Nothobranchius furzeri: one gene and its partners. The protein of the gene in region 2 interacts with the protein of the main gene of each other region in a biochemical or structural test. Links are inferred from orthologs where the notes say so. Each region holds a gene or a part of one and is shown on either strand. Other genes may lie near its edges.

Region 1 (4,980 bases), about 10 Mb from region 2:
AGCCTTCTTTAGGTCCTTTTACACTTTCCATGATGTTTTATTATGTTTTTGTTTATTGTATGTAGCTATTATTTTTTTAACTCTAACATTTGAAAGCTTATTTTTTCACGAAACTGTGGTCATGTTTTTATTCCTGTCAAATCTGAAGCCAGAAGAGATGATGAAGATCTAACCATCACCATTACTGAACAGGAAATGTACAGCGACCATGCAAAGTGGCACTTTTGACACTCTTCTGCTGCACGACTGAGGAGGAAATCAGGCATTGAGTGCTTCCAACAGAGCGCCCTCACTTCTCATGTGTGCAATATGCTAATAGCACCTGGGAGGACAAGTAAAGTCATGAGGCTCATTTAGTGTCAAAACACAAAATGCATTTTTGTTTGAATTTCACGGTGTCTAATAGAAATTAATCTGTGAGCTTTTGCATTAACAGTTTTAATGATGCACTCTCTAGCAGATACTCAAATTTTGCAAATTTTAAAGGAAGTTTCAGTTTCCTCTGAACTATTTTCAGTTGCAACAAACGTCAGAGCAATAACTGAGCAAAGTGAAACCGAACCTGGCTGCTCTGGAGCCTTTGGAGGTGGTTGTGAAAAGAAGAATATTGCACAAGCTGCTCAACATAATGAGTAGCAGCACAACGCCTCTGCACAACATGTTGGTTTAGGCACCATACTTGTTTAGTTAAAGGCTTTTCCTTCCCCACTTCAATAAGAACCAGCACAGGAGGTGGTTCCTGTGATGGAGACAATGACTTTGGATCAACAAAGGCAACTTTATGTGTGTGACTGTGATGCATGTGATTTTTTACGTTTTAACCCTGTGGTAGACGGTGTTTTGAAATTAGGACATTAACACATACCAGTTGTGAATTTTTAAGGTGGTAACAATGTTAAGGACAATCACTTGACTTGTGGCTGTTGTCCATGCTTTCGTTATTGCTATTATTTTATGACACGAAAGCAAACAAACATGTATGATAAAAATAACTGAACATTTTAAAATTAGTTTAGCCCTCCATCCCATTTCCTTTGAACAAAAGCATTCCAAGACAGCTTCTTTCCCCCCAAAAATAAGGACAATAAATAAACGGTTGCTGCAAGAAATCTCTTTGAACATCATGGATCATTAGTGCATATGTATGCTATATTTATATCTACTTTTTCTTTTTTCTTAGATGTGTTCTTTATCTGTATGCCCAAAATAGACCATTTGATTGCCTTCAAATTTAATTGTGTTCTCAATAAATTAAAGCTTTCTAATTATGATATTCATCACTGTTTGAAAATGAATCTTCAATTTGAGCTGTTTTACAATATCCTTCAAAATATTATAAGATATATGCATTCTTATTACATTTTCAGGGAATTGAGCTAAGCTTCACAATGTGTGATTATTTTTCAAGCACCTCAATATTTATAATAAATTTCAAAATTGTAATTAAAATGGACGAGTAACTGTTATATTTAGTTTAAATGTGTGATTTATTGACAAATAACACTACCACTCACATCCTTGGTGTCATACTTTTGTTCCAAAAGTATCATTGGCTGATTTTCTAACTGTGGTAACCATTGTCCAATCATATGCGAGTATACAATTTTCAGCCCGCCTTCGAGTGGTTGCTATGTCTACTACGCGTCTCTGTATAACTGACAGGCTGGGTAGCCAATCAGCATTGAGCTGGGCGGGCGCACGCGCTCACACTGGCAACTGTCTCATGAATTTGTACTACTATGATCAAACCGTACTGAGAGAGGTCGAGTGTTGGACCGAAGCAGCCCAAAGTCGGGATGGAAAATGAACGTTACGCTAACTGAACACTCTGTCCAGGTAAGGAAAGAGTTCCTCGTCTTGTTCCGTTCTCTTTACAGTGACTAATATTGAGAAGTGTCCGTGAAAGTACCCGCTAATTACGCTACGGTTTTTAAAATAGCATTAGTACACGCGCTTGTTTGACGTTTGAACGGAGGGAAATTTCGCTAACCCACAAAAGAAAAACAAAAACTAGACTAACATGGTCATGTATGGGTTTGAGATGCATAAAAGCGGACTCGTTTATTTTCTGTGTGTCTGGTGGGGTGAAAATATCATTTTGGTCAAGGTGGCTCTCAGTTTTGTTGTCAACCGGCATGACGAATGTGTTGTCCCACTGTCTGACGCTGCTTTCCTTTTATTTATTGTGAGATATTTATATTTCAAGCTTTTTACATAACTTATGAGTTATTTCTAATGTTGAAAGTTAGTTATTTTGAATTCACATAATTGTTATTTATGTGTTTTTAATATGAGCGCGCTGTGTTTGAAAGCTTATGTTAATAAGATTAATTAATATCGAAATGCTAGAAAATAGACTTTTAGGAAAGGTCAGAGTGGTACAGGTTAAACAAAAGCTTATTTACGTTCATACCGTCTAGAATTGAAATTTCAATACCTTTTTAATTTCAGTTTATTGTTCCTTTTAGTTTACTAAGGCAGCCACAGCTTTAAATGTGTCCTCATTAGTTTTTGTCATAAATCTCAGTCAAGTTCCTTTAAACTACTCTGTCAGAAACATAAAAATGAAACTTTACAAGAATTTTTAATAAATATGAACAAGAAATAATATTTTAAACAATATTTTTTTCTATATGAAAGTAAAAATTTACCTGCATATCATTTCATCTCACACTGACACACCTCCTCCATATTGCTCAATTGAAACTTTTTCCTGTCTGAAAGTAGAGTAACATCAACTCTTAAATCAAGTCTGTCCATCACGCTTGTGCCAAACTACTCATTAGCTGATTTTACTGTTGTAATTACTGATTTATTTTTATTTTTGAATCACGTTTCTTTCATCAGTTTAACAAGGTTAATCACTGGTTGCAAAAAAAAAAAACAAAAACTGGTGGGGAGTTTCCCTTTGAATGTTTGTTAGATGCTTATTTTTCAGTATGACTTACAAGTAAATTTTCCAACAGCTATAGGATAAACTAGTGTTTGCATAATGACACTGTGCTCAGCTACCTTCTTGAGCAGAAGTTGTTTTTCTGCTGTTTCTGCTTTTCTCCCTCTGTGTCTTAAAGCAAATGTCACAAGTTAAGATCTGCTGTGTCTTGATACCAAAAGGCCAAACAACACTCTCCTTGTGCCTTGACTTCTGCCAGGGAGAAACATTTTCAATTCAATTCAAGTTTATTTATATAGCGCCAAATCACGACAAGAGTCGTCTCAAGGCACTTCACATAATAAACATTCCAATTCAGGTCAGTTCATTAAGCCAATCAGAAATAATGTTTCCTATATAAGGAACCCAGCAAATTGCATCAAGTCACTGACTAGTGTCAGTGACTTTACAGCAATCCTCATACTAAGCAAGCATAAAGCGACAGTGGAGAGGAAAACTCCCTTTTAACAGGAAGAAACCTCCAGAGAATCCTGGCTCAGTATAAGCAGCCATCCTCCACGACTCACTGGGGGTCGAGAAGACAGAGCACACACACACACACACACGCACGCACGCACGCGCGAATAAACAGCAATGTTGTTTTACAGGAGTGTGAAAATATGACAAATATCAAAATACAGGGGAGACAATACGATATTGTGATGCTAAAAGCAAGATAATATTTGTTATTTTTAAGACTGAACATAGTAGTAAGACGCAGGCCAGACGCTTCCAAGACACATCCTGGACTAATCCCAATACTCACACGGTGACCTACGATCTCGTTGCGTCATTGACCATGACACATGCCAGGATGCCGGTCACTGTTTGTGCTACTTTATTTTAAAAATCTTTGTCAACAACTTTCATACAAACAATTGATAAAATTAAAATTCATTGCTGTCCACATTGAATTTTTGTCTAAAACATTCAGAGCATGAGCAAATATTAATCATCTTAAAATGAACTTCTTTCGTTTGAATATACATATAAGGAGCCCAAGTCTCCTCCCCTACTGGTTGGCTCATGGGTGCCTGGAAAAATGAAAAAAATGAATGCAAGTCAATGGAACTAAAAGAGCTATTTTCTAATCCGCTTTGGCTTACGCCCTGGATCGCACATATGTTGTACTTCAATTTGAATGAAAACTTTTGATGAATGTTTCAACCATGTCAGTCACGTACTTTGAGATTTATCAGCTTGTAAAAGTTCGTAATTAGCATGACTACAAATGAGACATCGGCATGTTGCATATATGACGTCTCCACAGAACCTCCTCTCCCCTAGCGTAGCTGCTACTTACCAAATGGCCAGATTTATGGTGGTTCTTTCCTTCTGAAGGAAGGATTTGAGGTTTGCTGAAGTTACAGCAATTTTCCATTCGTTTTTCTCCATGTCTGGTACGGTGACGTCAATTTCGTTAAGCGCATTTGTAGTTGAAATTATTTTCACACAAAAGATAAATAACGTTTCCCCCTGCTCAAAAATAAGCGCTTCCTTGGTATCAAAATGCGTCTTGAGTTCACAAACATCATATGTGAAATCCATGGCACAAAACAAACAGAATTAGAAAATAGCACTTTTAGCCCCATTGACTTGCATTAATTTTTTCGTTCTTCCGAGGACCCATGGTCCGGAAGTAGATGGGCGTGACTTAAGCTCCCTATTTTCATAAAACGCACCTGAGCCATTGTTCTGCCTTTTCAAAATTCCCACACAGTAGGGCTGCTCAATTATGGCAAAAATAGTGATCACGATTATTGTGACTGAAACTGAGATCTTGATTATTTAAGACGATTTTTCAATTTATGTTGATTTTATTTGCTTTTATTCAGTCAAAAATTGCTCAGGGAACAATCAGGAAAAAAATAAATAAGAAACAGGATGATCACTAAAATAACTCCTGATTCCCAGTATAAAAAGACCAATATACTTATAGCTCATAGTCTATGACCCAAGGGCTACAGACCTCGGTTTAACTCATTTAAGTCTAACCAGTACAGACCCAAACACCAATATCTTGCAAATACTGACAGCAAGAATTATAC
Region 2 (5,063 bases):
GAAGCTACCCTCTTGTCCCCCGGGGTAAACCCCAACACACAGGCAGAGAGTCTCGAGGCTAACAAAAAGCCAACCCCAGCCCTCCGCCTCTCACCCGGAGCAACTCCAGCAAAGTAGAGTGTCCAACCCCTCTCCAGGTCTCGGGTTCCAGAGCCAATGCAATGTGTCGAGGTGAGTCCGACTATATCTAGCCGGTACCGCTCAACCTCTGCCACAAGCTCCGGCTCCTTCCCCGCCAGCGAGGTGACGTTCCATGTCCCAAAAACTAGTTTCCTTGTCCGGGGATTGGACCGCCAAGGCTCCCGCCTTGGTCTGCCACCCGATTCACATTGCACCGGACCCTTCATGTTCCTCCTGCGGGTGGTGGGTCCACAGTTGGACGAGCCCATGTATCCGGTTCGGGCTGGGCCCGGCCGGGCCCCATGGGCGAAAGCCCGGCCACCAGGCGCTCGCTCACGGGCCCCAACCCCAGGCCTGGCTCCAGGGTGGGACCCCGGTAACCCTCCGGGCCGGGTACTCCGACTCTTCGTTTTCACCGCCATGAAAGATCCTTCGAACCGTTCTTTGTCTCACCCTTCACCTAAGACCAATTTGTCATGGGAGACCCTACCAGGGGCACTAAGTGCCCCAGACAACATAGCTCCTAGGATCATTAGGGCACTCAAACTCCTCCACCACAATAAGGTGACGGTTCAAGGAGGAGGTGTGCGAAATTTGTTCTCCGCAATTGACCCTGGGGGAGCGGTGAGCTGCAGACACAGCTGTGCTCAGGAACCATTTGGTGGCTTAACCCCCCAGTCCAACCCCTTAATGCTGAGTGTCAAGCAGGGAGGCATTGGGTCCCATTTTTTCAAAGTCTTTGGTATGACCCGACCAGGAATTGAACCCTGATCTCCCAGTCTCAGGGCGGTCACTCTACCACTAGGTCACTGAGCTGGTCTGCCAGGCAGCAGTATTTGTTGCCGGAGGGAGACGCGCTGCGTCACTCTCGAGATTTTGAGAAGTCAAGTGGTCACACAGGCGGAGCTGCTGAACGCTTCTTGGAAAGTCGCGTAATAGTCACAACATCACGTTGGACTTGAGAACAGAAATAAGGAAGTGACTCTATTGTTTATACATGATCAGACTTGCTGTCATGTTTTGTGAGACTCAAATTAATTAAAAATGGGTAAGTATGCTATTTATTTAAATTTGAAGTTATCAAAACTGTGGTTGGGTTTGTGCCGTAAAGCCATTCCACGTCGTAATGTCTGTTGTAAAGTACTCCACAATGTTGTAAACAGCTGCGCCGCGGCACTTGAGATAAAACTGGCACCTGTCTTCAGTGCCTAGGTGCAGCACAGCGCTTCTGGGACGCCGCGCGGCGTTCCCTGTGTACCCACTCTCATTAACTATAATGGCTTTTATTTAAAACGACGGCGCGGGTGCGGTGCGTCTGCCTTCAGTGTGCCCCAGGCTTAAGAGTCTGGTAGGAGTGACTTGCTCTTTAAATTGGAATGTCCAACCCTTTCAAGAGCAAAATAATCAACTGAATTTTTTTTAATAATGCTGCAGTTATTTTATGTTTTTATATGGTTCAAAACACCAAAAATATACACATTAATAAAAATGTTTGATCATGAAAATCTCAAAGTTTCTATCTACATCACCAGACTGCAGGAGAGACAAAATCCCACCATTCTAGAAATTCAATAATGAGGCCAAACAGTCTATGGGCCAAACAAAATCACTCCGAGGGCCACTAAGGGCCCCCGGGCCTCCTTTTGGGTGTGCCCGTATATTATGTCGATGGGCGTGCCCAGGGTTAAATGACTGGCCTGCTGTTAGTGGGTGTGATTGGACGACTCTGTATTTCGGGTCCGGTTCCAGGTTTTTCAGCGGCCTCTGTCTGTGTCTGGCAGCAGCGCAGCCTGAAAGCAGTGGGAAACAGAAACACTATGGCTGCCACTTTGTCTCTTACTCAGGTAACAGTGTCTTACAACTCAAATATAACGACAACGAACGCCGCGGGCTTCTGTCCGCGTTACTTGCGCCCAACTCAGTGGTGCTGGCCGGACTGGGCGGGCGGAAACGAGTGCTCTCCTCGACCGTCGTCGGTGTTGGGGAAGTTTTAGCCCTGCTGCGAAAAGTTTCTGTCTAATCTCTTTGGGGACTGCGTAAGGGCGTAGCTAGCCAGCTAGCCTGCCTGCTAACAGCTAGTTTATGTCCAGTGTGGGGCTGTTAGTGGGGCTTCTTTGTCAAACTTGACGTTTAGCTAACGTGACTTGGCTTTGGTTAGCAGTCTTTAAAACAACATTGCGCACCCTCTGTTAGCCGCAGGCCAGCCGGTCTTTGCTAAGAAGATGATAACCATGTGTGGCTCTCTGTTGTGGCTCTGCTGTCATATTTTAGTTGGTTAACGTTCGCTCCAAGTTTTAGTTATGTTGTGTTGCATCTTCTGCTTTCGTGTGCTTTATAAGCTACGTTGCTACTCCCATGGCTGTCTGCATGGTTACACTTGATATGGCTATAAATAGAATGAAACGTGCTTCGGTTGATGTGTTTTTATTCCTTTGACATTTTTGAAGTGGACAGACTTTATTATGTTCAATTATTTAATGTAAACGTTGAGTTAATTTTTAGTAGTGCAGCTTTAAATAATGTAAACTGTCGTTCTGAAACCAGTAAGAGGAAGTTAACTATGGCAGCCACTAGCTCGTTCTGCTGTCAGAAGTAAAAGCCTGTTGCTAGTTGGGTGAAGAACCCAAAGTTGGTGAATTGTAAGTTATTTAGCAGGTAGCGGGCAAGTTTAATTGGTATGGTCACCCGAGCCTCTGTTGCCTCTGTCAACAGAGCAGGAGCAGCGTTGTCTCTGTGTTTTCTCTTCATTGCTGCTGCTTCTTGTCTGATTAGTATCTAATCTGACCTCCATGTTTCTGCTGACACTGTTTACCATTTTATTGCTGTGACAATCAAACATGTTGAAATGTCAAAGAGAAACCAGCCTGTCCTGTTAACAAATGCAACATGATGCATCTTGTTGAATGCCAAAGTTTTGAATGAACTATGCAATAATGGTTATAGTTTTTTTTCACTTTATGGCTTTTTAAAGAGTGCAGTACAATGATGACAGTGTCACAGCCATCGATAGTTCCAGGCACACTACTGTGTTACAATTTCTGTGTGTGTGTGTGTGTGTGTGTGTGTGTGCGCGCGCGCGTCAACAGTTATCTCACTTTAAAATTGGCATTTAGTTGTCCAAAGTAGCTGACAGACAACTGCTGATGACAGGCTATGTTTTTTTTCTTATGTGCCAGAGTTGGTTACATAATTTACTCCTAAGCTGATGTTGCTGTTTTCTTCTTCATCTTCATATTGGTTTGGAGATGGAAGGAAAGCTTTTAAGACTGCTCCTCAGCACATCCACTTACCAGATAATTGCTGTCCACTCCTTTTCTCTATTTCATGGAAGCTACCATTTAGCATTTTTAGTTTAAAAACAGGGAAATGCTGATTTGTTTCCTGTTTAGCTCAGATGAGAAGAGGAAAGAAGGGATATTACATCAGAAAAGCAAATTACTCTCGAGTGTTAACATCTTGTGGCTTAGTTTGAACACAAATCACAGGCTTCCAGAAGGTATCGTCATGGTAATTCAGCTCAGAGCTTTAGTATCAGTTAGCCTTGCTTTGCAGTTTCATCACCAGAAAATAATGATTAACTTTGCTTTGTATAAAAAACACAAAGATATGTTTGTCATTTAATTTTTGCATGAATAAAGACTCACCTCTTAGAACCTGTAACAGTGAAAATCTAATTATTCAACAATCAAGAATCCCAGTAGTGGCATCACTTGTTCTTCACAAAAGTGGCATTACTTCAACGTGTCTTTGGTTTTACTGATTAATTATGATCAGTTCTGGGATAAGCTAACATTTTGTGGCATATTTTAGGCTTTATAATATTTTAAATTTAAAGGTTAAATCTACTGGTGCATGTACTCTAGTGGCTCTGTGGCTTTTTAAACTCTGTGGTTAACGTTTTCAGTTTTTGATCTTCTGACTGATTTTCTCTAGCTGCCAGATTATATTTTATTCAAATTTGTAAACTAAAAAGATTTCTTAGAGAAATACAGACATTTTAGGTTTTTGTAACTGACACTTTAAAATTTTGTTTTGGACTCTATGAAACGCATCAAATGAGGTTTGCAAAATTTACAAACATGCTTTTATTTGTTTTCAGCTTTCCAGTGGAAATCCCATCTATGACAAACATTATCGACAGGTAATGGAAACGACCACTCCTCTTCCCTTTGTTAAATTATATTATAAGCATGAATATTTATTATAGCAATTTAAATATCAGTAGTTTTTTTAACCAATGTCATTCAGTTGTGTCAAATTCAAACAGACTAACACAGAACAACCGTTTTTATCTGTTGCTTTTGTGAATTTAAAATTGAAATTAGCTGTAGAGCTTTCACTGGTGAGTTCTCTCTTCTGCCTTTTCTTTTCCAGCCTATGAATTAATAATGTTTCCCTTTGACAACCATTCAGGGAAGCTCCCTCTGGGCTTTCTAATGGAGTGCTGAGCTAATACTACAGAGATTATAATAGTTCTGGTTAAAGTGAGACACAGGCTCTTTATTCAGAACCTGTGCATCCGAGCGTCATGCACATTAAACATGCTGCTGTGGGCGTGCATGCAGGTGGATCCCACTGGCAGCGGGCGGGTAGCGGCAGCTGATGCGGCTCTGTTCTTGAAGCGGTCAGGGTTGGCTGACATGGTCTTGGGCAAGGTGAGCTAAGTTTTGTCTCAATCCCAACTTAGCGTCTCTGTCTTGGCTTCAGGGTTAACAGTAGAACTCCAAAGGCAGTCGTTTTGACTGCTTCCTGACTTATGTGTCCTTTAATTTTCATGTTAACATTGATCAAATATCAATAAAGAAATATTGTTATTTTTGTCTCTATATCCAGCCTCGCATTCCAACGGTCAGAATGCCAATCGTCATAGTGACTGCTAGTGGGAGTTCTAGTTGTGTTGGAATGCTGGCAGAACTAATGTTAGTAGTGTTTAAAATAAATGC
Region 3 (4,840 bases), on a different chromosome or scaffold from region 2:
CATACACCAAAAATCATTGAGTAATCAGATAATTCACATCGGCTCCAGCGCAGTGCAGATCCAGATGCGGACCACCAGAAAGTTTTCACATGGAGTCTATTCTTTCTGAACACCTCCTGCAGACAGTTATGTTGTTAATGAAATGACATGCCCCAAACAGGAAGACAGGCGTGTTTCTGTTAATATTAATTACAGCAACATCAGGTCACAGTGTATGATATTCACCTTTTTTTCACGAGTGTATCTTTAAGCGTATGATTTTCTGTGATGCTCAGCACATGAACTGCAGTCACTGTGAATGGCAGTCTGCAGAATGAAATCCAAGCTTGTAACACATGTATGCCAGCTGTTGGTGTTGCTGTCTTCTACAGAGTTTGTCTTGTGTTAATTATGAATTTACTGGCAGGTGAAGGCGGCTGTTCTGGTTTCATCTGAGGTTAAAGGTAGGTAAATGGTGCCTCTTTGTGGACAAGCCTGCTATCACACTCCAGAATAAATAAATCAGACTGATATGACATGTATCCGTTGTAACTAAATGGATTTTATTACATCTAAATTAAGATTTGTGTTTATTAGTTTAAACTTTCTCAACATCTTGCAACTTTTTGCAAATCAGTTAGTATGCTCTTGTGTCCCCTCTTTTTGGTCTAGGCTTTTTTAAGTGTATTATCATCAAAGTAGTAAACAGCGTAAACTGGATCTCATAAAAGTGAAATAAATATTAATCATGACTGAAATGATCTTCATGAAACAGGATTACACCAGCAGTAATTGGACTTGATTGTACAGTGAGTGTCACTGGATTTGCAATTAATATAATTCATTTTTGTAACTGTTCTGAGATGACTTTTTTTATTTTGTACAAATAATCAAATGCTTTTGTTTTTTAGTCACATTAAAGTGTTGCCTGTGAATCTATTTTTAACAGGGAGTTGTTACGCAGCAAATGCTAATAATTAATGGCTTAAAAATGTGGTACCTGTATTGGAACATAAGATTTTCCTTCATTATATAGTAAAAATACTTGTGTATAGACCTGTTTTGATTGCGGTAGTGTCACCCATGTTTGTAGTATACAAATTGCTATAAATGTTAGATATGAGTCTGATAAGATCATGGAAATAAAAGCTGTTTTAAAATAGCTTGTTGCAGTCTTCATGAATCAAGTCCAGGTAGAGTGACTTTTATTTAATTTTATTATTATTAATATTGTTGCTGTTGTTGTTGTTGATTATATTGTTTATGGTGTTGTTGTCATTCTTATATATTCATTTCACGTATTAATAAAAGTTTACTGCATTTGTGTATTTACCAGTAATCTTGTTTATTTTTCTTCCTTTTCTCTAAGTGTATGTGCTGCTGTAACGAGTGAATTTCCCCACTGTGGGAATAATAAATTCTATTCTATTCTATTCTATTCTATTCTATTCTATTCTATTCTATTCTGCATATTTTCACCAAATAAGATTTTTCCATAATATAACTTTATATTGCTTAGATTGCGTGGTATGACATCGTTAAAAGATCATATTCAATGTCATTTATTTGGTGATAAAACTGTAAATAATTATTAAATAAAGTTTTAAAAAAATCAGGAGGTGCGGTCTTTCCTGTAGGCGAGAACGGAAGCGGAAGTTCGGCCATCTCCTCGTACATCCAGGCTACAACAGGGTCAGTATTTATGTTATCTAGATGGTTATTTTGTCACGTTGTCAATCTTTTGTGACGTGTTGTCTTTTGAACGAGTGTAGCCGACGCTGTCCCAAAGCAGGAGGTGTCCCTGTCATCTAATTCTCACACAATGTAGCAGTCAGGTTGCGAATTAGCATCAGAAGCTAGTTCGCTAGCATCAAGTGATTTCTTTATCAATCAAACTGGCAGGTAACCTTCGAGTCTAGTCTGCTGTAACTCCTTGTTATGTCTGGAAATTTCATGGGTTTTTAGTAGATTGCCTGTTCGTGCCAAGCTGCACCCTCGTGTCCCATCTTGTGACTATTTTTTGCACAGACTTTTCAGAGCTGAGTAGCAAAGTGCTAGTCAACACTTTCGATTAGCTTGTGGTGAGAGTTGCTAAATGACAGCTACCGTTAGTTGGACGTTTTCGTTCATTCTTCCCAGTCACCATCGGACTTAGTGGCACAGTGATGCTAGTTTAATGCTGTAGCTCACGTTAGCAGCTGCACAGCTGTTTGATTGCTAACGTTTTTTTCGCTGATAGGGTGTACCAGCATAAACTGTAATTGTTTTACTGAGTAACGGTTGTTTGTCTTATCTCCGGGTGAGTTATCTGGGTGGGGGGGACTCTGGTGCGTCAGCTCCATGGAGGTTCAAAAGCAGAACAAACGAGTTGAAGTTTGATACCAACTTTTTAAAACATTTGTGTTTATTGTATTCGTTATTTATGTATTTAAATCCACCCATATGAACTTAAAACCTACCGTGTTTAATCGTTTTTATGGGATGTGCTGGGATATGACCCTAAAGTTGTAAACAATTCTTATAAACAACGAGCCTGAGCAAATGGCTTTCCTTCTGCAATGTGTACTTTCAGTATAGACCAAATTCAATCCAAAACTCCCTAGAAACATTTCCTTCGGTGCGTCCATGCTGCAGAAATGAAATCCACCTGAAGTACACTGTGTACTTGTACTTTGCCCAGATACGTGGCTATGGAAAAGCAGGCAAAGCGTGGTCACAGCTGATTAAAATAACCAAGAAACTAACTTTAGAAAAAGTTTGCGAGAGGAAAGGTTGAGAGTAACACCTGCTGATCCCGTTGGTTCTAGATCACTAATCTACTTGTAAAATGAAGGAAGTGGGATCTGCTTTCAGTACAGATTGTTGGTTCTGACCTTTATTCAGTGGGTGCTCTCTCTCTAGCTCTCCTGTGCTTGGCCAGCCAGCCAAGGCCTTGTATGATGATTGAAATGGTGAACTAACCTGCCTATTTGGGGTTTCCTTTTTGAGCAATTATGAGGTTATTCCTGTGAGATCAGCTCAAGAAAACATAGTTTTATATATTACACTTGAGATGCACAAAAACCCATTTGTTTGTTCCCAATCATACTTCAGTCTTAGAGCAATGTATTTGCTCCACAGTAAAACTAATCATGGTTATACTGAGCCTGGTAATGCAGTTTGCAGGGGAACTACCTGTTTTGGTGAAGAAGACTGAATGTAGTTTATTCATAATCTAGGCCATTTAGTTATGTCATGTTTTCTGTGTGATAAGGCATCTCCGTGTCAGTAATACTTGTGAAACAAAGATGGAGTGTTGTAGCCGAGAGCAGCAGAGTTTAAATGTAGTTAATGGAACTTGATATGTTGCTCTGGGTCTGATGTCTGAGAGCCAAAGGACGTGTTTCAGAACTTGTCTAAGATTAGGTGACGGACGTGAACTTGGTTGTTGAGTTTTAAGAGGCGCTAAACTGACTTTCATATCTTATACATGGCTTTTATGTAACCAATGCTGATGGAGATTTAAAACATGATGCCAGATGCAAAGTAATTTTATTTATTTATTTATTTTAATACCAACTTTCCAATAAAAAAGTTATACTCTGATTGCTGGACAAGTATAAAACAAGTTGTTGTTGATTTTGAGAGGGTAGTTTGTGTTAAACTTGATTTTTCCTGACATTCCTTTCAGCAGACCTGTGGTAGAGTTCAGTCTGGACCATCGGGTCTGGACTCATGTTTTGCTACAGCTGGGTCGGAGTGCAGAAAACTCAAGGTTTTCACGGGGAAAATAGCACTGAATCTCGGTTACCCAGCAAGGCTAGTCTCGGATGGTGATTATAAAGTGAAGTTTATTCATTTAGATGAAAGTTTTTGATAGATGAACATTTTCAGGTTAAACTTGATCCAACAACCTTCAATTTTTGTATTCATGTGTGGAGATATTCTGAAAATTTAGACTAATACTGGTAGCAATGGCTGCACAGTACTTTGATATTAGGAGTGCATATTGGCAAGAATCTAGCGCGATACCAGAGTTTCCCCCAGCACTTTTTTGCTTGGTCACCCGGCAGGCTAAGCGCTTTGTGAGAACATGTAGAACTTGTACAATTAGCTAGTAGTTGCAGTGTTTCCTTGAGTTTATTCTGCCATGGCCTCGTAAATGGCTTGGACGCGAGATCTTGGTGATGTCACAACACGTGGTTCTTGAGAGTGCAAAACTATTGACTACACGTGTCTGCAGCACAATTAGACATGCATTTATATAGTTAATCAGGAAAAAAAGTTGATTTGGGGGTGACTTGCTCTTTAAGATGTTTTTTGTTACAAGGGGGTGTGGCTTTGGCACAGCGTGCACCGGGAATCATTTTAGCATGGTTTGGTGAGAACATGTAGATTATGGCAGTGAAAGGATGCATGTGGTCAGCAGCAATTGTTCAGCCTGCTGTGTAAGCAATCTAGTGCAAACAAAGGCTCAGGAGACAGTGTGTGGACAAGAATTATGCAGGAGAAATGTACACATTAAACCTTTATTAGACATGAGTCCATTCTTTGTTGAAAAACCAGGTACTATACGTTTGGCATCATTGAAAAAGCAGATAGTGAGTATCTGCTGGTTTAATTTTTCACTTGTTCATATTATTGCAACCATTTGTCTTTAAATGTTGGCTCTATTGTTATTGGTGTTTAAAAGATTCATTCCCTCCAGGCTCATTCTCTCTCCGAGGGCTCCTGGATGTCTGGTCGTTTGTAGGAAAAGCTGTGATAAGGAATATTATTACCCAGTAAATAGATATGGGCTCTTAGCAGCAGAATTCAAAGTTCAGGTAATGTTCAGGGTTGCAGCACAGAGTAGTGTCCTTTTACTTTCATGTAAAGTTGC
Region 4 (5,004 bases), on a different chromosome or scaffold from region 2:
TTATTATTCTTTTGCACGGTCAGACCCAAAGAATGTTGTTTTTAATGATTAGAATTGTTTTTCTGTCTCTACAAAGATCTGTGTAAATATGTGAAGCAGCTTGTTTATGTGTAAAGTAACCTACATGTGGTTTGGGAAATAAAACATGGTGACTAAGAAACATGGAGTTATTTAAAATAGAATTTCTTGTTTTATCTAAAAACAGCTCTCTGAAGCATCAATAAACACGATTTAAAATCCTGTTGTGACATTTGCTTTAATGCTTCGTGGTGTCCAGAGGATGAGCCCAGTGCTGAGACGTGCTCTCTGTGCTTCAGGAAGAGTTGATCATTAGAGGGTGGCTTTGATGATCAGGAAGTCGAACGACACCCTCATCCAGACTTTGCTGCAGCACCGGTAGGAAACAGAGTGAGACTACAGGAATGAGCACAGAATGATGCTATCTGACATATCAGTGGTGAATTGTGATTAAATTTTGGTTATGTGCTGTGGTTAAAGAGGAGCAAGAAGCTCAAGATCCTGAGAGAGACGGGGTTTAATCAGAGAAGAGCTGGTGAACACATTCACCAATTAATATTTCAGACAGTTTTCACACAAGAGTTCATTTACTAAGTGAACAAGACTCCAGACCAACCAGGTGCTCTGTGAACCAGTGACAGTCAGACACGGTGGTGGTGGTGGGATGGTCTGGGGCTGCTTAGCTACTTCAGGACCTGGAACACTTGTTGATGGAACCATGGGTTCTGTTCTCTAGCAGGACATCCTGAATGAGAGCATCTGACCTTAAACAGGCCATATCTGCTGGAGAACCCTTTAATGGAGCTGAATTCAGACTGTTCTGTGGAGAAGAGCAGGACAAGACTCCTCTACAGTGATGTGAGGGACGTGTTACCAGTTCCCACACACACTTAATCCAGTAGGTTCCTCCACGGGTCTTACAGCTAGTCGGTAGGCTTTGGTGCGAGTTACTTTGTTATGTGTCTGTAGATAAAGGTGTATGGCAGAGGTCCTCGACTCACTTTGTTCAGCCAGAATTTAATGATTGCTTTTTGAGAAAAAAAACACAATCCTCCTTTTTCCTGCTAACAAAACCCAGGAACCATAAGATCCAAATGTTTGAGAAGTCAGATTATGGAGATACTTTATTTCACAGCATGGACAGATTGTGATACTGAGATCCTAGAAAGGTCATAAAATTATGTCACAGCATGATGAAAGGTGAGGTGAAGTTGAAAGGTCAGCCTAAGTAAATGAAGGCTCCTATCACTAGAACACAAATCTCTAACCCCTAATTCCCGTTGACCCCGGTAACCCTAATCCTTAGCTGCAGCTAACAAAGGTTCATGAACTTTAAAGGTTCTGACCTACAAAATAACAACCCTGGAGATTTCTGTGGCTGCTGAGCCACATATATGTTTTGCTCTGTTCTGCAGCCTGTGGTCGGGCTAAAATTAAGCACATCAAAAGTATGTTCAGCTAAAAATAAAAATTATTGACAGATTTGTTTCTCATCTCTGTTCTGGGTGGACTGTATTGGATATAGTTATGAGAATTATATTCATTTGTCTGTTTTATATTGAAATGCTGTTTCGCCTGCATTAATTAGATTATTTTATAAGGATCTCAGGTTCAAGAAAAAAGACCTGATGACAGTCCAACCTTCCAGCAGGAGGCAGCCCATCCTAACAAAAGAGGGGATGTGAGGCTCAAAGGGAAAATTCTGGGACAGGTTGATCGGTGCTTCTTTGCTGTAAAACCTTGAAACAGAATCAGAAGAGAAACTTAACGGAGAACAAAAAACAGTCACAGATAAAGAGGCATAGTTAATCTGGGACAGCAACAGATTCTTCACCACAGCTAAGGTAAGAATCTACAAAACAGGTCCAACTACTTTTAGCCTTGTGTGTGTGTGTGTGTGTGTGTGTGTGTGTGTGTGTGTGTGTGTGTGTGTGTGTTTCTGCTTGTTCTGTAACCTTTTAGCTATTTGTGAGGAATGCTGATAAACTTCTGGCCTTTTGAAGGGGCCAGTGTGTGATCATCAGGTGTGTGTGTGTGTGTGTGTGTGTGTGCGTGCGTGCGTGTGTGATGGGGGTTACAGTTAACCTGAATTAATCACCAGTGTTTTAAACAAATAAAAAAAACAATAAAACTAGAATCTGGTGCAAAAATTAATTTATGTCAGTAAATAAACGTAGACTGAGAGGCTAAAGACTAAAGGCTCAGGAACCCTTTGCATGTGTTTCCGATCAAGCCGATTAGCCTAGAATATTAATGGTCTAGGATTTAGATATTGGGGTTTTCATAAACTGTAAGCCATAATCTTTACAGTTATGACAAATAAAGGCTTGAAATTTCTGTCTTTGCCTGGAATTATTCCAATATGTTAGTTTCACCTTTTAAGTTGACTAACTGAACTAATGGTTCCAGTCTCACCTGTAAACATGTAAGATTCTGATTTTTCATTGACAAAACGTTGTCTTTATATCCACCCATAATTGTTGTGGCTTCCGTTTCACAGCAAAAATGAGCGTCTCTGCGCATGTGGTAATTGTTCCGCTCACAACTGCGTCACTGACTCCGGCCCAGGTTACAATCAGCTATCGATCACCTCCGATCAGCGCGCGCCAGCCAATGGCCTCGCACGGAGGCGGTCCGTTGCCAAGGAGGAGGTTTGGTTGAGTCTCCGGGTCGCAGCCATTCAGCGGCGGTGACTGAAGCGATTGGACTGCTCGGGTCTCTCCGAGACTTTTTTGTGGAATTTGAATTATTTGGCACGGCACGGCTCGTGACTCACAGGTGACGGTCTCGGTGGGGATCCTTCTGGGTCGCAGAGGTGGTCACAGGTATGTTGAAAGAAAAAACAAAAGACGTTCTGTGTTGATAGGACGAGCGTTTCTAGTTAACCGTTAGCTCCCAAGCTAAGCTGCGCTAGTCCCCCCCTCCCTGCGCACCAAGCTACACTAGCTCCCGGTTACGTGACACTATTCTGTTCTTTTACTACCCTGACTACATGGCAGAAGAGGCTAATGCAAGCTCCGAGGTCTGATTTCTCTCACAAACAAAGGAGATGTCATTCTGTATGTGGCAGTCTGAGATGGGATGATATTTAGCTAGTTAGCTCACCACTTTCAAGTTACCAGGATAACTTTTAAGAGATGGACGTCACTCCGGCTGGAGTGTGCAGCCACCGAGCTGGTTTGTTGTCACGACGTCGCTGGTGTGTAATATTATTGTTAAAACGTTGTGTGCTAAAGAAAGAGTGGGTTTATTTAGCTGTAAACTGAAGTGACTTAGCACGTTCCGGGGAAAAAAGGCGTAACTGGTTCAGCTCTGAACATGTTAATGAGGCTGAAACGACAGGTCCTGGATCAGCCGTGACTCATGCTCTTAACACGCTGGATGGTTTAAGGTGCGTTAATGTGATCGCGTAAGGTGATGGTATCTTGGTGAGATCTTGCTCACTCTTCATTCTACTCTGGTTGTATCTGTGAGCAGATAAACACAGTAGTCAGATTACCTCCTACTAACAGATCCAGGAGCAGGAGGATGATGTGCCCAGGTTATTCAGATGGGAATGTTGTCAGGAAGTTTGGATCCATCACAATTCCCTTGATGGTATCATGACATGCTGTTTTGTCGTTCATTATGAGGGAATAGTGTTTGTTTGCTAATAATATTTTTATTCTGGTTGGATAAGTGTAATTGTATAAATTCAAGATGAAAAAAAAAACAAAACAGCACATAGCTAGGCCCCTTAAACATCAAATCTCACTTTTTGTTTACAAGTCTACAGAAACAAGACAACTACTGTCAGCCATGTTTATTCCTATTCATTCATCGGTTTAAGCCCAGTAGTTTTTTCTGAAGTGGAAAAAATGGAGCAAAATGGCAGATTTTTCTCCCATCGTTTACCAAAAAGGGAGTTGTCTGGTTATCTTCCACTGAACCCACTGTCTAAGTATGTCAGCTATTCGAGGGAGGCGAAGGAGAACACAGGAGCATGTATCTTTCTGTGGTTTAGAGATTCTCTGAGAAACTTGCATTACCCTTATCATCTTGCGCTGCTGTCAAGAGAAAAGAGCTCTTTTGGCAGTGAGCTTTGCATGCAAATGATGCAACACAGGTAGATAAACCTGCTGTGCAATGATAATGCATTCACCAGGCTAACCTGTCCTCAGATAGTCGTGCCTACCTGTGTGTGGTGAAATCAGCATCCGTTTAGCTCAGTTTTGATTGATTCTTTGTTTTGTTGACTGATCAAATAGAATCCGTGTGGCCGTCTCCTCGGCTTCCTAATGTGCATGATATTTTCTGTCATGTACGGGTGTTTGCTTATGAGTTTTTAGTGAGTTGGTTTGAAAACAAGTTGCTTCTTTAGCTGTTTTGGAGCACAGAGAAGACGCAAGCAAGATGGAATTCAAAGGGAGTTGCATATTATTGTTTCTGTTAGCCCCTTCAAACGTCCGTGTAGCATTTGATACCCTTTCATCTTCACAAAGAGGGGCATGCTGTCTGCACACTAGGGCTGCAGCTATCGAATATTTTTGTAATCGAGTACTCTATCGAATATTTTTTTCGATTAATCGAGTACTCTAATAAATTACCCTTTTGTGTTTGTAAACCATTATATCATATATTGATGAGCCAAGATGGCGTCGAGTATGGCTGCCTCGTCGCGAGCTCCACCAAGTTCCAACATTACACACTCCATACTGTACATTAATGCCACTGTTTTGCACATACCAACCTCTGTACATTTTATATCTCTTATCTTGTTTACTTTATTCATTTGTATACTTAGATTAGCCATTTTTATATTTTACTTGTTTTTACATTACTGTATTTTTGCACAACTCTGTTGCTGTGAAGCTCGCACACAAGAATTTCACTCGCATGTACTGTACCAGTGTACCTGCACATGTGACGTGACAATAAAAGTGATTTGATATCAAATAGCATGTTATAATTATGAAAGACCTCTTAAAATGAGCAAGCAATTGCCAG
Region 5 (5,107 bases), about 11 Mb from region 2:
GACCGCGGCTTCTGCAGCAGTCATGTGATGCAAGTGTGTTCCATTTAACTGTTTGACCAAGGAAGGACAGCGTCCTTTTAAGCCAGACTTTTTTTTAAAAGGAGCTAAACTGACAACCCCCCAGGCAACTGAGAAGGAAATCTGTTTCAATGTAACCTTCCTTCCAACTTGATTGAGACATTAGACTGTTTTGTGATTGTTTCACTGTAAAATTCTTACATGTTTCACCTTTAAATTGCTACAATATTTTTCACATTTTCTGATGTAAAAGCTGCTGTTTTATGTCATCATGCTTGATCTAGATCTGCCACCATGATGTTAAATTGAATTCAGACAGTTTAATTGAAATTGTAAGGATTTTAAGCAAAAAGAGTCCCAGATGAATGCATCATCCCCATCTTCATACTCCTTTGTTCTGTGAACCAACTGCCAACACACTAATATATGATTTCTGGCCCTGACCCACTTTCTGTTAGAGGTGGCTGATGTCACTTGGCAAAATAACCCCCTTTTTAGAAAGTGTGTAGCATTATATTAAATCAAACAGATCTTGCAATAGTCTAGTCTACAAATAGAAGTATTAGTGCATGATCTGTTGGTGCATGACAAGTGTTGGATTTGTCATCTCACGGTGCAGCCACCTGGACGGTCTGGTCGCGTTCTAATTTTAGCATCCCCATGCCTTAATGCAAACCCTCGCTTTGTCTTAGTGATCCAGATGCTTTCCTGGCATGCCTGATGAGATTCAGTTGTCACTGCTGATTTCTGGAGATTTGCTTTACATCTGAATGTTTTTTCTCTTGTAAGAATTTCCCATTTTAAGTTAAAATTGGATAAATATGGAAGATTATCATAACAATGTTAGAGAAAATGCAATAAATGGTCATAAAGATGAAATGCAAAAGGTTTTTATTTTTTATTTGGTTTCAGTCAAAACTAGTTTCCATCTATCTTTGTATCTGGTGCAGCTGGATGTATTATCAGTTGTCACAATCCAAACTAAATATTTAGCTCTAACTTTGCCAAATAGTGCATCTTCGTAGGTTATGGTTCACATTTTTATCCAGTTGTCTTCCAGGGCTTTGCATCATCCTCTGGGATTATTGGATTTAAACACATTTTGCTCACCTGTTTCCTCCTCCTTGTTCCAACAATTTTAGGTCGTTTTTAGCCTTCTGTAAGCAACATTTCCACCGTATCTCTTTATTTGTCTGTTACACTGATGAACAGTTTTTCTGCCTTCCTGTCTCACTGATTCCACTCTTCTTCCCATTTCTACATGATTTTTTTTTTGCCTCCCAGCCTTCGCGACACTACTTGCTTAATGTTTACTTACCCACCTGCCTGTCTGTGGATCATCATGGCTGCGTAGCAGCTTGACCTTTGCTGATGTTCTGTTTTTCTTTCTAAACATGCTCAGACATGCACACATCGCTGGCTCTTACTGAATGGAAAAGACTTTCTTATCCATTTTTGGGATAAATGCGTACAAGTACAGCCACAAGAGCGTACTGTTTATTTACCCAGGTTAGGATTTAAATAACAAAAGACATTTAATCTCTACTAAAAACATCTTTTTAAAAAAAGCCTATGTTGTATTTTTGTCCTTACTGCTTACTATTCACAGCAGCACAGGTCTCCCATTCAGTCTGGAGTGGTCTGGCCGTGTCCTCTCCTCTGCAGTTGGCAGTGCAAGCTGTGCCCCTGTGTGTGTGTGTGTGTGTGTGTGTGTGTGTGTGTGTGTGTGTGTGTGTGTGTGTGTGTGTGTGTGTGTGTGTGTGTGTGTGTGTGTGTGTGTGTGTGTGTGTGTGTGTGTGTGTGTGTGTGTGTGTGTGCGTGCGTGTGTGTGTGTGTGTGTGTGTGTGTGTGCGTGCGTGTGTTACTGCTTCGTTGGCTGATAGTCTCTTCATCTCTGCTCCCTTTGGGGAGGCTTGTTAAACAACTTTTGCCTGTCCAAAAACAGACCGATCCTTTGAGCGTCCTGAGCAGCTGTCAGAATTTGAGTCCAGGTTTTTGTGAATATCTCTAGGGGTTTGTGTTTCTGAATCACTGTTTACCTATCCATTTAAATTTTCTTGTTCTGCCTCTTGTATATGTGGGAATGAAACATCACTTCCTATACTGGCAGATAGAAACATGCAAACCCATTGGAAATCACATAAAATCCTCTGACTAGAATCTATGTGCCTAAAACAAGCGATTTCAAAAAGTCTCTGTTTGTGACATCACAAACAGGAACTTTTTGTAGTAAAACAGGCATGGGGAATCCTGGTCCTCAAGGGCCGGTATCCTGCATGCCTTTGCTCCAACACTTCTGAATCAGTGGTTGAATCACTTGTGCAGCAGCTCATCGATCTCTGCAGAAGCCTGTTAATCACCTGCTGATTGAAACCAGGTGTATTGAAGCAGGGTTGAAATTAAAATATGCTGGAAAGCGGCCCTCTATGGACCAGGGTTCCCCACCCCTGTAGTAGAAGAATAAAACCACCTCTCATGCGCAACAAAGAGATGCTGCTGGAGGAGCAGCAACCCTACTCCAAGCCCCTCCCTGATATCTGAGCTTGTTAGCTTATAGCAGCCTGAGCGGGGGATGGGTGGGCGTGGCCAGCAACAGCTTGTTTTCTTAAAATGATAGAACACTGAGATGGCTCATTCTGGAAGATACTGAAATGGCCGATAATAAAACTGCTGAAATTGTTCAGTGAGACGGATTTAGTGCAAAGAACTTCATGAACATGTTTTTTTCTACCATAAAACTATTCTAACTTAAGAAAAAAGGCATAATATGCCCCTTTAATACAAATCAAATGAAAGCTATTTACTTGATCAATTTTTACTGATAATTAACCAAAATAATCAATTACTTAAAATCCAACTGTGAAATGAAAAGAAAAAAGTAACTGGGGTGATGGTGGCACAGGAGTTAAATGATCTCCTCGTAATCGGAAGGTTGCAGGTTCGAGCCCCGCTCAGTTTGTCGCTGTCGTTGTGTCTTTGGGCAAGACACTTAACCACTCCTTGCCCGCTGGTGGTGGCTGGAGGGACCGGTGGCGCCAGTGCTCGGCTGCCTCGCCTCTGTCAGTGCACCTCAGGGCAGCTGTGGCTACATTGTGGCTCATCCCCATCAGGGTGTGAATGTGTGTGTGAAAGGGTGAAAGACTGATAGTGTTTTAAAGCGCCTTGGGGGGTTCCAGGACTCTAGAAGTCCCTATATCAAATGCAGGCCATTTACTATTTAACTGATGCAGACCTTAAACAGGTACAACAAAGATTTAGACTTTATTTTCTGACAAAACTTAATCTGTTACTTAATTATCTTCTTTTCTCTTATTTAACACAGTGAAGTAAATAGATGCTTCTTTACCTTCGGCTGACATGTTTCAGCCAGAACTTCCGCCTTTGTCAGAGTTTTAAAGATAAATATGGATAATCTGTTTCTATTTTAAAGTTTATTTTTGCTCATTTTTAAATATTAAGCTGTTATTTGTTATGCCATTTACACATAAGCTAAATGTAATAGCGACAATGACACAATTGTAGTGTTTTAATGTTGTTTGTGTTTGTAAAAACTAGTTCCTGTAGGCTGAAGGGTGGAACAACATTATAATAACACATTTGCTTCTGCTCTGAGTGACGTTCCTCCCGCTGTGAGTTTGTTTTCACATATTGGAAAATCCAGACTGAGTTACGCATTTTCTTAGAGAACAGGTGAGCGTTAAAACTATTAAACAATGCTTGGAGAGGAATTCTTATGAGCTTTTTATTGTGCAAATCCTCTGAACAGTTGAGAGTTTTTGAAATAATTTGTTGGCCTAATTTATTTTAGGTTTGGGAACTTTTCTCTTGTTTGGATTAAAACTTTTTGGCGTTTCCTGGAATTGCTGTGTCTTGAGGATACACCACTAATTATGCCAGCACTTGAATTAGCATTCCTCTGATTGGGAGTCCTTTTTAAACTTCACCTCATACGCGTCTCAAGCATGTATCTTTAATTTTTCTTCTCTGCTGCAGCTCATGCATGCTTAACTTTCCTTTCTTGGTGTGTTCTTTTAAATGCATGCGGTGTGAAGCTGCCATCTGTATGCTACTGAATACTTTCCCTCGCACTGCTGTAAATCTGTCGGCTTTTATTTGGAGCCAAAGTGGATTTATTGGAAAGGAGAAAGGAGCAAAAAACAGAAAACTGATTAAAAATGTTCGAAAAAGTCTTGAAGGCTTTTATTTTGCCCTTTTGAGGAAACGATGAAAAAGCAAAAATGTTCACGTCATCAAAAAACTGAAAGATCAATGAAAAACTTGCCATGAGAGGTAATTTATATGTTATGTTTGACCATGACTATTTCAGTTAGTATTACATCACCAAGTTCAAACTAAAACACACATTACAATAATAGAATACCAAGTCTTATTTAAGGGTTGACACAGTTTCCTGAAACTTTTAAGCATTTTTAAATTAAAAAAATTCAAATTCAGACATCTGAATAAATACTGTAAAAATGGTGAAGATTTTTATTTTATTAGAACTAGAAGCCAAATACAGCAACCATTACCTTTTTGGTTAAAGATGTCTGGATGTGGAAGTAATGGAGGGGTTACGTCCCCGACAGGAGGTGTTTAAATGTGAAGGAGGGGGCAACATAAGAAATGTGATAGTGGAGTTAAAACGGGTTTAATTGTTATAAAAGGTTCTAAAAACAAGTGCAAACAGATGGCGAGCATTATTAAAATTATGCAAAACGAAAAATTCACTATAAGGTTAACAGTTAAAAGACAATTCATCAACTATATAAAACACCTGGTTAAAACTTTATTAAATGTTTTACCTAAACCAAAGGTGTTTTAAAAACACAACAAAGTTGATAAAAGTCTAAAAACTAAAACCGAGTTAACCTTAAAACAGAGTCAACTAAGTTGACATCAGCCAAAGATCCATGTGGATCACTCAGAGTTTTTCCCTTTAAAACTTCTCAACTCAGAGTTAAAACTCATCACAAATGAAAGGGTTGAACCCAAACTGAGACCTGGAGGACAGCAGAACCCCTGCACTGCTGCCTCCCAGACTGCTGAAGGCACCGCCTTTTTATCCCAGGTGTGGGTCATCAGGAGG

Evidence for each region.
Region 1: the proteins of eps15 (region 2) and fcho1 form a complex in vitro, tested with the Homo sapiens proteins (2 studies listed by BioGRID). The link is inferred for Nothobranchius furzeri from reciprocal best matches to the Homo sapiens genes EPS15 and FCHO1.
Region 3: the proteins of eps15 (region 2) and epn1a form a complex in vitro, tested with the Homo sapiens proteins (4 studies listed by BioGRID and IntAct, with this or other methods). The link is inferred for Nothobranchius furzeri from reciprocal best matches to the Homo sapiens genes EPS15 and EPN1.
Region 4: the proteins of eps15 (region 2) and numb form a complex in vitro, tested with the Homo sapiens proteins (2 studies listed by BioGRID and IntAct, with this or other methods). The link is inferred for Nothobranchius furzeri from reciprocal best matches to the Homo sapiens genes EPS15 and NUMB.
Region 5: the proteins of eps15 (region 2) and sgip1a form a complex in vitro, tested with the Homo sapiens proteins (2 studies listed by BioGRID, with this or other methods). The link is inferred for Nothobranchius furzeri from reciprocal best matches to the Homo sapiens genes EPS15 and SGIP1.

What each region holds. Positions count from the first base shown.
Region 1 is NC_091748.1:67,314,013-67,318,992, reverse strand, and holds the start of fcho1 (f-BAR domain only protein 1), read left to right. Parts: upstream 1-1,733; 5' UTR 1,734-1,836; intron 1,837-4,980. UniProt on the Homo sapiens protein: Functions in an early step of clathrin-mediated endocytosis. Has both a membrane binding/bending activity and the ability to recruit proteins essential to the formation of functional clathrin-coated pits.
Region 2 is NC_091748.1:56,887,309-56,892,371, reverse strand, and holds the start of eps15 (epidermal growth factor receptor substrate 15), read left to right. Parts: upstream 1-1,793; 5' UTR 1,794-1,808; coding exon 1,809-1,964; intron 1,965-4,219; coding exon 4,220-4,261; intron 4,262-4,685; coding exon 4,686-4,775; intron 4,776-5,063. UniProt on the Homo sapiens protein: Involved in cell growth regulation. May be involved in the regulation of mitogenic signals and control of cell proliferation. Involved in the internalization of ligand-inducible receptors of the receptor tyrosine kinase (RTK) type, in particular EGFR.
Region 3 is NC_091745.1:76,098,594-76,103,433, forward strand, and holds the start of epn1a (epsin-1), read left to right. Parts: upstream 1-1,593; 5' UTR 1,594-1,671; intron 1,672-4,840. UniProt on the Homo sapiens protein: Binds to membranes enriched in phosphatidylinositol 4,5-bisphosphate (PtdIns(4,5)P2). Modifies membrane curvature and facilitates the formation of clathrin-coated invaginations. Regulates receptor-mediated endocytosis.
Region 4 is NC_091758.1:16,940,733-16,945,736, reverse strand, and holds the start of numb (protein numb homolog), read left to right. Parts: upstream 1-1,757; 5' UTR 1,758-1,862; intron 1,863-2,687; exon of another isoform or gene 2,688-2,843; intron 2,844-2,849; exon of another isoform or gene 2,850-3,040; intron 3,041-5,004. UniProt on the Homo sapiens protein: Regulates clathrin-mediated receptor endocytosis. Plays a role in the process of neurogenesis.
Region 5 is NC_091748.1:68,168,334-68,173,440, forward strand, and holds the start of sgip1a (SH3-containing GRB2-like protein 3-interacting protein 1), read left to right. Parts: upstream 1-1,860; 5' UTR 1,861-5,107.